Arabidopsis thaliana: one gene and its partners. The protein of the gene in region 2 interacts with the protein of the main gene of each other region in a pairwise test. Each region holds a gene or a part of one and is shown on either strand. Other genes may lie near its edges.

Region 1 (4,255 bases), on a different chromosome or scaffold from region 2:
ACGTTGGAAAACCGATCAACATTGATCAGAAGTATTGCCCTCACCCACCTTGTGAACATGAAAAAAAGGTTAACATTATATGCATGAACAAGCTTGGTTATTTTTTTCTTCAATTACAATGAAATATAAAACAAAAGACAACTTGTGTTTCCTTGTTCAGGGTAAGTCTCACGTTCAGATCCAAGACATTAAGTTAAAAAACATATATGGAACGTCGAATAACATAGTGGCAGTGAATCTACAATGTAGCAAGAGCTTTCCGTGCAAGAATGTTGAACTAATTGATATTAACCTAAAGCATACTGGACTCGAGAAAGGTCATTCCACAGCGATGTGCGAGAATGTTGACGGTTCTGTACGTGGTAAGAATGGTTCCTCAACATTGTCTAGATTGACTCAATGGTCCATCGAAAAAATAACCTTTTGGGTTATACATGATATTTTTAGTTACATATTATTGCCTAATTTTTGTATATATTTTATGTTTTATGTTCTTGTTTATATGATATCATGATCACACATACAAATTCTTAATGAATAGTTCATTCTACAACAAAACAAATCTAAGAAAGAACGGTTAAATGTTTAACTTCCAATAATTTTACCATCATACTTAGTAACAATTACACTTTACTAGAATCAAACTAATAAGGAAAATCTCAATAAATATCTTTTAAGGTTTGTTCGGTTTATTGTAACTTTTATTAAATAATTTTAATTTAAATGTTTATATAATTCTAATAAACAATTGAAAAACTATTATCTTTTTCTTCTCATACTTACTTATAAAAATATGTTTAATTAAAAACTATTTATAAGTGTTTTTAATTTAAATGTGCTATTAGAAAATTTCCCTATATTTAAATTATTTATTGATGTCATAAGTTTTTGTGAATTAAAAATCAAAGCTCGAGCCTCCTCCATTACCCAAAATATTGGCAAATAGCATGACACAATAATGTATATCATGTGTTTAGGCAACGCAAAGTTCACAAAATGCCGTCGTACATCGCAAGGAGAATTTTACACCGGAAGGGCAACGACTTCCATCACCTACTTACTAAATCGCCAAGAAGGACCTTGACTGACAGATCAGAGAGACATCGAGATTGCCGAAAAAGATGAAGAAGAAGAATATAATTAAGAAACATTTTGATTGTTCACATAGAAACAATTTGAAATTTTTATTATCACCTTTGTATTTTCTTGTACTTTTCGTTTAGAGACCGCAATTTGTTTTTTATGATATTAAGAAAGTGAAAATTTTCATTAATTATTTAATCTAGTAAGTAATTATATATTCATTTTACTAGCATGTTGTGATTTATGAATAAAAAACATCAAGTAGAGTAATGGAGATATGCAATTTTAGGCATGCAAATGCGTGTAGCAATTTAATCGTTATATCTTATGAAAATTTTGAATAAATACAAGTTTACAAAATAATGTAAATACTAAAGTTTAGTATCCATCAAAATAAAAATAAAATCCACAAAGAAATCATTTCGAAAACATTTTGGTTTTATGCAATTTAAATTAAAACCCATTAAAAAAAGAAACAAATTATAGGTAATCTTATTGGCACATTTCCCAAAATTAAGATTCTGTTTTAATGAAGAGATTAAAAACTAAACAATATACACTCAAAAAATCATCATAACAGTATATTAACCAATCACGATCATTATAAAGAAGCCGCCCATATTTAGTAGTTAACTGATAACAATAATCAAGTGCTTTTAACAGTCTGTTGAGACATGTTAACTCTATATAAATAGATAAAATGTGCGAACACTTCTCATTGTGTCTTACACTATAAGAACAACTATTATTAAACAGCACCTTTTTGTTATATCTCCATATACCCAAACAAAAGAATAAGATGGTCTCCATCGCTTCTACGTTTAAAGCTTTGTGTTTGTCTTTCTTGTTCATTGCTGTTGCAAGTCGTCCGACTATCAGACCAAAGGTTTTCAACGTCCGACGCTATGGTTCTAGACCAGACGGAAAAACTGATAATGCCAATGTATGTACACAATAACTTTTCTAATCAATGTTAATAGTTATTTATTTAGTTTTGTTGATTCCCAATTTATATTGGCTTCCAAATACATTGAAATAAGCTCAACTCAATATCAAAATACATTTAAATAATCTAATAATATATGTTGAAAAAACATTTTGATATGATAGTATATATAAATCTTCTTGACTTTCTACATAACAATATATGGATTGGTATTATATTAACCAATTAAATTTAACTAAATCTTTTATCAACTTCTATGGATTTTTTTGTTTAATAATTAACCTATCTTATTCTTAACATATACAAAATTAGGCATTCACAAGTGTATGGAAACGTGCATGCACAAGGATAAGTGGAAGTAGTAAAATCTACGTACCGAAAGGAACATTCTATCTCGGTGGTGTAGAGTTTGTGGGTCCATGCAAAAATCCTATTGAATTTGTCATCGATGGAACTTTATTGGCTCCTGCAAACCCTAGGGACATTAAGCAGGACACATGGATCAACTTCCGGTACATCAACAATCTCTCTATCTCCGGTTCCGGTACACTTGACGGCCAAGGAAAATACTCTTGGCCACTCAATGACTGCCACAAAAACACTAATTGTCCTAAACTAGCTATGGTACCGTTTCTTCTTAAGCTTTTCTTTTTATAATATATTTCTTGTTTGAGAAAATATGATTATATATTGTTTACATTGAAACTGTATTATACAATGGTAACAAGTATATTTTGATCATTTATTTTTTAACCATATATATTTATTATATACAAATGAATTGAAGTATCTACTCTTTGTTTCTAGTGATATGATAAAATTTGAAATGTTTACAGACTATGGGATTTGCATTCGTGAACAACTCAAGAATCAAAGACATAACATCACTCAACAGCAAAATGGGACACTTTAACTTCTTCTCTGTCCATCGCTTCAACATTACCGGCGTCACTATAACAGCTCCCGGTGATAGCCCAAATACTGACGGTATCAAAATGGGTTCTTGTAGCAACATTCACATCTCAAACACAAACATCGGTACCGGAGATGATTGTATTGCCATTCTCTCTGGGACCACTAACCTTGATATCTCTAACATCAAGTGTGGTCCTGGACATGGGATCAGTGTTGGAAGCTTAGGGAAGAACAAAGACGAGAAAGACGTAAAGCACTTAACGGTAAGAGACACAGTTTTCAACGGCACAAGCGATGGTATTCGGATCAAGACTTGGGAATCTTCGGCTTCAAAAATCGTAGTTTCTAACTTCATATACGAGAATATTCAGATGATTGACGTTGGAAAACCGATCAACATTGATCAGAAGTATTGCCCTCACCCACCTTGTGAACATGAAAAAAAGGTTAACATTATATGCATGAACAAGCTTGGTTATTTTTTTCTTCAATCACAATGAAATATAAAACAAAAGACAACTTGTGTTTCCTTGTTCAGGGTGAGTCTCACGTTCAGATCCAAGACATTAAGTTAAAAAACATATATGGAACGTCGAATAACATAGTGGCAGTGAATCTACAATGTAGCAAGAGCTTTCCGTGCAAGAATGTTGAACTAATTGATATTAACCTAAAGCATACTGGACTCGAGAAAGGTCATTCCACAGCGATGTGCGAGAATGTTGACGGTTCTGTACGTAGTAAGATGGTTCCTCAACATTGTCTAGATTGACTCAATGGTCCATCGAAAAAATAACCTTTTGAGTTATACATGATATTTTTAGTTACATATTATTGCCTAATTTTTGTATATATTTTATGTTTTATGTTCTTGTTTATATGATATCATGATCACACATACAAATTCTTAATGAATAGTTCTTTCTACAACAAAACAAATCTACGACAGAACGGTTAAATTTTTAACTTCTGAATCCATTAGCTAACTAACAAACTAAATCAAGCTATCCCTAGACAATAGATTCAAAACCAGATCAATCCACTTTCATGACAATGATCCTCATAACTTTATCACTTCCTAATCTCAACTTTCATTGATGAAACATAATAAAGCAGGCTTTAAACACCAATCTATTAAAATCAATAAGCAGTCTAAACATCCAATGTCTTGGGCTAGAGTCTACAAATCTCTGAAATTAGTTGGTTCAGACATTTCATCAAACACTTATTAGGTGGAGAAAGTCTGAAATCAATTTTCAATTGATCAGAAAGAAAATAGCATTAAGAACTCCTAAAACAGAAGGGAATCAT
Region 2 (2,835 bases):
ACACGACACAAGTCAACTCGAGCCAAGAACAACTCTACCCATGAACAGCTCTCCCTCAAACCTAAGACTTGGCGTTAAAGCAACATATTAGTCGCAAGAACGCCATGCCGAACAGGGCCGAAGTCATACAAGTGATGATAATAATTTAGACCGGGAGAAGTAAGAAAGAATCAAAGAAGACACACATTAGCTTCTATGAATTCTGAATGTTCATCATAACTATATTCTTCCAAATCTCATAACGCAAAAGACTAAAATTAACAACAACTTGGAACTTGTAAGATAATTTACACCGAATCCAAAACTACCAGTAAGTTTGGTGTTGCTCAGATTTCAGAAACCATCAGTTTTTCTTTCACCAGACACAATTAGCTCCAAGTATTTGCAAGATATGAAAGACACAAACCAATCTTTATATCCTCTCATCAAATACATATGAGACTTAAAACTCCTAAAATCCTAATCATCACAACAAAGTAACCTTTTTTTTTTGGTAAGCACAACAAAGTAACCTTAAGATCAGAATATGAAGACCACTGAGAACACGAAATCCCCGATTTATTTCATAGATAATTTGGTACTTATGGTAATTGTATCAAAACGATCAGATCCAAACACGAAATCAGAAAACACACAACACAAAGATCCTCACACACAATAGTTACATAACATAGTGCAATCTCAGAAGAGAGACCTAAGAGACAACACGGCCAACGACAGGATACTTAGCTTCAAATTTGGTCTCCCAATCATTAAGAGTATTGATCTCTTTCTCAGTGAGACCTTCAAGAGAAGGAGACACATCTTCTTCGTTCTTACTCATCTTACCCAAAGCTCTGCTCGCGTCTTTTCCGGCGAACATCGAGTAATCGCCTCCGGAGCCGTAGAAGGATTTTCCGGTGGTGACATCGAACACACGGCCTTTGATTGCGACGTAGATCGGCTTTGATTCGTCGGTGCCGTTGTATTGGCTTAGCTGCTCTGCGGTGAATTCCATCTTTTTCTTTAAAGCTCTGATCAATTGTTTCTGGAAAGAACCAAATAAAAGATAGTGAGAGATATATAACAGAGGATTTTTTTAAAAAAATTATAACTGAATAACTTTTTTTTAATAAGTGGAACAACTTTTTTTGTGTCGGTAATAAGTGGAGTAAACTTTATTCTTCAGATTTTTACAAGGAATATCAAAAAATATTTTATTTTTCTCTAATTAAAGTCGATAAAAATTCCAGAAATGCTTAATCTTTCAAGGAGCTTAATTTAAGCTGCTTAAACAACTTCGTCGGGTTTAAAGGACGGCTTTGGGAAAAGACAATTTAATTTGAACTAATTCCTAAGATAGAACACATTTGTATGTTTATTCCTACAGTAGAACACATCTTTTTTTTATTACTCAGATGTTTTCAGTTATTGTGTAATTACAATTAACACCCCTAATTAGTTTTAATTAATTATTATTATTTAATTCGTTTTTAACTAAAAATTAAATGAAAAAACAGTGATTATACATGTCATTATTCCATGTCATTACCATAATCCACGTCATTAATTATCTCCAAACTCCATAACGTTTGGGTTTCTTATTTCTTAGCTTTACTGTTCATCATCTCCCAAAAAAAAAAAAAACTGTCGCTTTCTTCCACTTTCTCTCTCGACGGAACGAAATCGATTTCTTTCGCCGTTTTGCTCTTTTCTCGTCTGTTCCGGCCGAAATTCAGACGCCGGAGTCGCATTTACGTAAGCGCGAAGTCACATTCGACATCTAAGTTCCGGTGAGTATCTTTCAATGAAGTAAGACTCTGACATCTAAGTTCAATCTCAAGTGATTCCCGTCACTGAAATCGTTTTCCGATGCGTAACGATGGTTTTTAAAGCTGGGTTTTAACGTCGACGTTGATTGACATATGGTGGCCGATTTCTTAGATCTATTTGATTTGACGGCTGAGTTACTGTTTGTTTGCCGACTGATTTATGATTTATCAATTCATCCGTGTCTGAGTTTTTTTTATGCTGTGACTGAGTTATGGTTTAACCTTACATCGATGTCTGAGTTTCTGTTATATGACGGCTGAGTTTGTTTATGTTATGGCTGAGTTTCTGTTTTGATATAGCTGAGTCTGGTTTATGTTTTAACTGAGCTGTTGTTATGTTATGGTTTGACTGAGTTTCTGTTAAAATATGGCTGAGTTAGATTTATCTTATGGCTGAGTTATGTTATGTGTGGCTGAGATAGGTTTATGTTATGACTGAGTTATGTTATCTATGGCTGAGATAGGTTTATGTTATGACTGAGTTATGTTATCTATGGCTGAGTTAGATTTATGTTTTGCCTGAGTTATGGTATCTGTGGATGAGTTTGTTTTATGTTATGACTGAGTTATGGAATGCTTACGGCTGATTTATGGTTATACAGATGTCTGAAGACCAAGCAAGGGAGTACCCTCCAAGACTTTACCAAGAGGGGGATTCTAATCTGGAGGGTAAAGGCATTAATCATAATATAAAGCTGGGAGAGTTCCCTGCAATTAGAGAATCAATAGGAGAAGAAATATGGGCAGAACTGAAAGAGACAGAGCTTGGATTAATTGCTAAGCTTGTTGATAGTCATTTTCTCTGGTCTGGTAAGACCGTACATTATCTACTATGCAGACAGCTGAGAATACTGAAGAAGGAGCTTTGGTGTATCGTGGCTGGTAAACCCATCCGGTTTGGATTGAACGAATTTCATCATATCACTGGTTTAAATATAGATGATCTGCCTACAGAAAAGTTTGAGCCTGAAGCTGACTACAAAGCGTTCTTCAGTGAATTGCGTGTGCCAACCGGTGAAGGTCC
Region 3 (4,156 bases), on a different chromosome or scaffold from region 2:
ACATTCATACAAGATCTCACAAGCATTGCCTACCTCATAACGGTCCATTGTGACATACATTCGACCTCCACCAGATGCAACCTGAGCATCAACACCTTTCGCACGTAAAGCAGCTAGGTCAGCTTCAAGAGTTTCAACAAATCCGACACTAGAACCATCCAAAACATCACGACCATCAGTAAGAATATGGACGCGGATTCTCTTAGCACCACGTTCTGCAAAACCCTTAAGCAGCAACTGCACCAAACAGAACCAAATTAAAGAAAATTAACAAACGCCAACGTTTCAAAAGAAATGTGTAACAGATGAGAATTAAGTACCTGGACTTGATCCAAACGAGAGTGAACTCCACCATCGCTTAGAAGACCAATAAGGTGCACAGTGCCTTTCTCAAAAGATTGAGAGATGTATTTGAAACCTTCATCTTCATAGATTTTCCCTGAAGCAAGGGCGAGATCAACAAGCTTAGCACCTTGAGCGTAAATTCGACCAGCTCCAAGAGCATTGTGGCCAACTTCACTGTTTCCCATGTCGTCTTCGCTGGGGAGACCAACGGCGGTACCATGAGCTTTGATCAACCTCCATGTGTCGGGCTTCCCCTGTGAAGAATAAAATCGAACCGTTGAAGTCCATAATCGGAATCCAGCGAAATCATCGAGGAAAGAAGTGGATATAAACAAAAAAGGAAACATACGTCTTTAAGGGAATCCATGGCAGGAGTTGGAGCTTTATGGATGCAATTGTATTGATCGGGATCAGATTCACCCCATCCATCGAGAACAATCAAACCGATAGTTTTGCCTTTGGGAAGCTTGGGGTGGTCCGCAAGTTTCCAGTTAACGTCGCCGGAGCTACCCATAACTGTGGATTCAGATCCACTCGTCGGTGAGAAATTAAAGGTTTAAGGAACAGATCTGAGAAGCGAGAGAGAGAGAGATAACGGAAGCTTACCAGCGGAGAAACAGAGGAAAGCTTCTCAAAGAGTCTTATGGAGATTCGCAGAGACAGAAGTGGTTATGTGGTGAAGTATGGTAGGTTGAGAGCTATCACTGACATAATATGAGACTTTTATAGAAACATAGAAATGGAAAAGTTAGCGATGACGTGGTACCAATTTAATGGGCTTTACTTTGGGCTCAAGTAAACATTGTGAAGCCCCCAAAAAAATGGAAGGAGACGAATGTTCTAGTTTTAGCTGCTATGAACGAATGTTCTGGATCATGCCGTTTGTAATAGTCATGGTGTGCGCCATGTAAAAAAAATTGTATATACCTTTTTATTTTGGTCAACGTAAAAAATAGCATACAGAAAAGGTCAAACCGGAGTTAACTTAATAGTTTATACGGTATTTGAACCAGAATTTGATCAAAAATGGGTAAGTTTTAGTAACTGGGATTACATTAATTTCTGTTGACAGTAACTTTTTTTTATCTAAATCATTATTTAAACCTTGAGATTGCATTAAATCAAACTGAAATTACACGAAAACCAAACCGAAAACTCATGTAAGAAATTCAGGGTTGTGCACATTTATTTATTCAATATCATCATAATATTAACTGGGAACCTTCAAAAGGTTGGTAGAAGGCTAAAAAACAATTTCTAATGGGCCAAAGACAAAAAGTTGAGTTCCTATATATTGGGCTTAAAAAGCCTGAAACTAGATGAGACGTGGTTCATAGTCAGATAAATGGGCCAAGGATAAGGAAAGACAAAAACAAAAGTAGAAAAGAATCATACAGTATACATATATGGGAAATATACAGAGAGAGATACAGATAACACAATAAGAGGTAGACGGACAACTGTTACGGCGAAATTGAATGCCGCAATGTATCAATATGATTGGTCGAAAAGGAAAGTAAAAAAAACAAACAAAATATTAAATTTTTGTTAATGTGTAAAGGGAGAAAAAATCAGATGAACAGGCTGTATCATTTTTTTTTTTGTGAACAAATGGGACTGACGACAACACTCTTCTTCTCCTTTTTGTCCTTTTGGCTCTCTCCTTCTCTCCTTTCTCTCTCTCTCTCTTTTCCACCGGCGACCATTCATTCTCTCTCCTCCTCCTCCTCCTCCTCCTCCTCAGCTTCCTCCATTGCTCCTTAACCCTCATTCCTCGATTTGTTCTTCTCTTCACCATTTCCCCTTTTTACCCTTTTTCTACTCAGACGTGACGGCGACTTTTTATTCCTGTGTCTCCCACCTTTGACTCGCCCTGGGGGGATTTTTTTTTGCTCCAGAGGCGAAAGAAACAAAAAAAAGCAATGGGGTTTCTCCGTTGTCTCCAGCTGCTGCTGCTTCTGTTTCTATCTCTTCGTCTACAAAAGCTCTCTGCTCAATCTTCTTCACCCAATGCTTCTTCTTCTTCTTCACTCGATGCTCTTCTTCAAGATTACTCTTTTAGAGCCTTGCTTCGTCCTCGTACCGGCATTCTCTACGAGGCTACTACTGTTCCTTCCAATTTGACTGGGATCAAACTCGCTGCTATGAGACTCAGAAGCGGAAGCTTTAGAAAACGTGGAGTCACTCCTTTTAATGAGTTCTCAATTCCCAGCGGCGTTATCGTCAAGCCGTATGTGACAAGGCTTGTTTTGGTTTATCAAAACCTAGCTAATTTCTCTCACTTGTATTACCCTTTGTCTGGTTATGATTATGTCGCTCCTGTCTTGGGTCTTCTCGCTTACGATGCTAAGAATCTCTCTGCGCTTAATTTGCCTCAGCTTGATTTAAGGGTGTCTAATGATCCTATCAGAATCGATTTCTCTGATCTGGAACGAATCCCGCAAGGGTCTAGTGCTAAGTGTGTTAGATTCGATTCTAAAGGTGAAGCGAGTTTCAGCGATTCGATTCAGCCTGGAAACACATGCGAGACTGAGCATCAGGGACATTTCTCTGTGGTGGTGAAATCTGTGGCTTCTGCTCCGAGTCTAGCTCCTCCTGGGATTGAGAGTAAGAAGAAGAAGAAGAGCTCTGATTCCAATTCCAAGACTTGGATCATTGTTGGGTCGGTGGTTGGTGGATTGATACTGTTGGGGCTTTTACTGTTTCTGGTTTTGAGATGTCGAAATTACAAGAAGCAAGAGAAAATGAGGGAGATGGAGAGAGCTGGAGAGACAGGGGAAGCTCTGAGGATGACTCAGGTTGGTGAAACAAGAGCACCAACTGCTACTACGACTCGTACACAACCAATGCTTGAAACCGAATACGCAGCTTAGGATACTTTTGTGTACATCATCATCATCATCACATCTTCTTGATCATCTGTTACTGTCTTTTTCTTTTTTTCTTCTACAATTATTCTTCTTTTGGTAAAGTGTTTCTTTTTCTGATTATTTTTTCTTTGTGGTAAGCAAGTTGATACTTCCACATTCATCTTGTTTCTCTGCTGGTGATAAGGAAATAAGTAATATTGTTTTCTTCTTGTGCTCTCAAATTAACAAACTTTGGTGGTCTCTCCATGAGAATGAAAAGAGTTGGATTGTTTCTGGAGTGCACTCACTTTGTTTTCTTCTAACTACTTTTGCTGTAAAGCTTTGCCCTTTTTGTAATAATTTCAACATCTTTTTGTCTGAGAAGCAGACAGTTGAAGAAGATGTATATCATCCTATCATCCATACTCAACTTTGTTACATTGAGCTTAGCATTCTTCAAAAGGAACTAGTGTGTTCTTGAGATTTGTTGAGTTTTAACATTTTTTGCAGCTATCTGCTTCATGCAACTTGTTGACCCTCACATTTATATTAGAAGATCACCGATGAACCAATAGATTTTGGAACCAAAGAGGTTAGAATCCGGTAGGATATGTAGAAGATGATTTGCACTTGGCAATGTTACAACGTTTATGTTTACATCTAGGATTGTCTTGTTTGCTTACCTTATATGAAAAGTCATCTCGTTCATATGGATTTTTTGCATTCTACATTTTAGAAAAGCACCGTTTGCCACTTCAGGTATGTAACAATGTGCACAGCTACAAATCTTTGCACTGAACAGATTTGGAATAAAGTTTGAGTTAAAGTGAATACATGACTTGGTTAATCCTGGCTTGGGCCATCTTGTGGCCTCTTGCTCATATCAAGTAAAATGCCATGACAACAACGTTAATGGCTAAGTTAGCATTGCAGCATCTCCTCTGACTTCTGCAGATACCAGG
Region 4 (3,089 bases), 430 kb from region 2:
GAAAGATAACCAGATTCAATTTGTTACCTGAGCACCAATCAACAGATTTTCAGGTTTTATATCTCTGTGAATTACATGCTTTCCATGGCAATAGATGAGGGCTCTAGCCAATGACGCAACATACTGCCACAATAAACGTAAGGGTATGACTACACAGATTCACATTAACATGCTAGAATAAGTTCAATTATCACTAGGACTTACAGTTGCTGCTCGACGTTCGCTGAAGTACTTGCACTTCTGAAGCTCTTTATAAAGCTCACCCCTTACAGCATACTCCAAAATCAAATAAACTCTTTTCTGCAACAACGGTATCCCAAAAACTATGTTAACCTCACAGAGCCAAACATTGTATGTCAACAAGAAGTTCTTTTACAAGCACAGATAACACAAAACCTGATCATAGAAGTAACCGTAGAGCCGCAGAATATTGGGATGCCGAAGATGAGATTGAATCTCTACTTCCCTTCGTAACTGGTGTTCAACTTGAGATTGTTGAAGCTGAGCCTTAAAAAGAACCTTTAAAGCCACAATGTGATCGCTCTGTTTGCAAAGACACATAGAAGACAGCTTGGTTAAAAAAGACATCAAATTAATTCTGCTTGTTTAACATAATTGTGAAGAAACACTAACCCGTTTCTCTCTTGCTAGATAAACATGGCCAAACTTTCCTCTACCAAGTGGCTTTCCGATATCGAAATCGCTTGTAGTCCATCTCTTTTGTGCAGCCTCTGAAGCCGCCTGATACAACATTATCACAAAGATTGAAATCCAATCAACTCTCAGATACACTTAATCATAAACGACAAACAATCATTGATACTTTAAAACTTGAAGATAAAAGGATAAAATCAACAGCTCCTTAACACTAATCCACGGATTTGTCAATTAATCTAGGGTCCTCGCTGTAAACGAATAAATCCACAATCATATCATGAAATTTCTCAAAATCATACCAACAAGTCTTTCTCAAATTAAACAGAGAACATTGAAACAAGATTCTTTCTGGCGCAAAGAAAATCAAGCAACCAAATCGATAATCCCAGATCACATTCCATTAGAACAGACCAAACGCAGAGAAAAAACGCAAACCAACAAGGAAGTAAAACCCTAAATTGAAACAAATTCGACAAAAGAACCAAATGAAATTGGAATTTGTGAAACCAAGAACAAGTTATTTTCTTACAATTTGCTGCGTCTCTGTAGAAATCCCCATGGAAGAGATCGTTGATGAGCCAAGATAGCGAGAGAAAGAGAAGAAAGAAAGAGAGAAGAGAGAGTAATTTTCACAAAGGGAACAGATCCAAATTGAGAAATTTAAAAAGGGGAAAAAACGTAAACCACCAGCAAAGCAGCAACGGTCGAATCCAGATGCTGCCACGTGTTGATACATCTGCATCGAGGTTTTTATTTTCAAATAATTTGTCTCCCGAGATGATACAGTCGCTACAGGCCCAGATATTATTAAGCCCACGGTATTCCAACTTCATAATCACTAGGATAATATACAGTCACTACAAGCCCAGATAATAGCCCAATAAGCTTCAAGATCGTTTGACGATGAGATTTTAATTCGGAACTAAGTAACCACGTGTCAGTACCTCGTCAAAGTAGCTCCATGCAGAACTGACACGCCCGCGTGACACTCTTCTCCATTGCCTAACACGCCTCGTCGTTCGACACATGTCTCGTTTAAGTTTAGCCTCTCCTTCATACTAGTCTATTTTCATTCTTCATAATAATCACAAATGGTAAGCTTATTAAAGCTACAAAAACAACATAGAACATTAAATCCATACTCTCTTAGAAAAAGAAAAAAAGAAATGGCGGATCATCAACAACATCAGCAACAACAACAACCAATAATGAGGAGTCTCCATGAATCATCACCATCGACTCGGCAGATAGTGAGATTCGTAACGGCAGCTACGATCGGCCTATCACTCCTCGTGCTCTCAGGACTAACACTAACCGGAACGGTGATCGGTTTGATCGTAGCGACGCCGTTGATGGTTCTGTTCAGCCCGGTGTTGGTACCGGCAGTGATAACGATAGGGCTTTTGACGATGGGATTCCTATTCTCCGGTGGTTGTGGGGTGGCAGCAGCTACGGCGTTAACGTGGATTTATAAGTACGTTACCGGAAAACACCCGATGGGAGCGGATAAGGTGGATTACGCGAGGATGAGGATAGCGGAGAAAGCCAAAGAGTTGGGACATTATACGCACTCGCAGCCACAACAAACACACCAAACCACAACAACTACTCATTAGAGTTTAATAATTATATGGATCTATATGTTGTATTAAGTTTTATGATTATCCTACGTATGTTTTTTTAATACTGTTCTTACCTTTTTGAAAAGATCTATCTAAAATTTTATTTTCTATTTTCCATACAATTTTTTGTGTGTTTAATTGCTGATCGGTATTTTCTGTTTTATGATTGTGAAATAGCTAGTGTAAGGAAAGATGATAACGAATTAAGTAAATTAATAAATGCCAATTACTTGGTCACCGTCTGGCTTCTAGAATTATATGGTGGCTTTCTTGGTATATGTAAATGTAGTTTTGAGTGTGGTCCGTTTGATTTGAAATAATATTGTTGTTTTTATGTTCAAAAAGAAAATTGCAAGGTTTGTGAATTTTGTGTATCAATACCAAGGCTTGAACCACTTTATCTATACTCGCTAAATAAATTTCGAAGGCTGCGCTAAATGGCTCGTGTCATTTACGTTGTCTTCATGAACGTATTGTAGTTAGTGTGATTGTAAAAATATTTCTTTGTTTAATCATTCCTCAAAAATTGTATTCGGCCTTTGAGAGATGCGGTGAGGTCGTATGCATGTTTTCCCAAATTTCGAATACTTGCAAACTGTTCTATGAATGTGGTTTTTAGGTACTCATGAAATAATTGAAAACTTTACTTGTCTATATGTTCGTAAACCATTGGCATTGAATTGCATGGCATGGCTTACTATGCGCGCACCAACAAAATGCACATGCATGCTTCACGAACGTATAAAGAAGCTGAGGGTGGACAACATTCACTGCTTGTAGTGGGCAATGCAGTCTTGTAGAGCAGTTGTA

The links.
Region 1: the proteins of MAPR2 (region 2) and AT1G43080 interact in a protein complementation assay, tested with the Arabidopsis thaliana proteins (one large-scale study listed by BioGRID).
Region 3: the proteins of MAPR2 (region 2) and AT3G08600 interact in a protein complementation assay, tested with the Arabidopsis thaliana proteins (one large-scale study listed by BioGRID).
Region 4: the proteins of MAPR2 (region 2) and AT2G25890 interact in a protein complementation assay, tested with the Arabidopsis thaliana proteins (one large-scale study listed by BioGRID).

Annotation. Positions count from the first base shown.
Region 1 is NC_003070.9:16,213,456-16,217,710, reverse strand, and holds AT1G43080 (Pectin lyase-like superfamily protein), read left to right. Parts: upstream 1-1,882; coding exon 1,883-2,026; intron 2,027-2,341; coding exon 2,342-2,653; intron 2,654-2,865; coding exon 2,866-3,390; intron 3,391-3,482; coding exon 3,483-3,716; downstream 3,717-4,255. Other genes in the region: AT1G43090 (Pectin lyase-like superfamily protein), read left to right, coding at 1-68, 161-514.
Region 2 is NC_003071.7:10,607,609-10,610,443, reverse strand, and holds MAPR2 (membrane-associated progesterone binding protein 2), read right to left. Parts: upstream 1,028-2,835; 5' UTR 998-1,027; coding exon 695-997; 3' UTR 544-694; downstream 1-543.
Region 3 is NC_003074.8:2,610,379-2,614,534, forward strand, and holds AT3G08600 (transmembrane protein, putative (DUF1191)), read left to right. Parts: upstream 1-1,796; 5' UTR 1,797-2,267; coding exon 2,268-3,218; 3' UTR 3,219-3,640; downstream 3,641-4,156. Other genes in the region: iPGAM2 (Phosphoglycerate mutase, 2,3-bisphosphoglycerate-independent), read right to left, coding at 34-237, 321-599, 695-859.
Region 4 is NC_003071.7:11,035,612-11,038,700, forward strand, and holds AT2G25890 (Oleosin family protein), read left to right. Parts: upstream 1-1,691; 5' UTR 1,692-1,748; coding exon 1,749-2,273; 3' UTR 2,274-2,568; downstream 2,569-3,089. Other genes in the region: AUR2 (ataurora2), read right to left, coding at 28-123, 205-300, 397-543, 634-741, 1,187-1,399.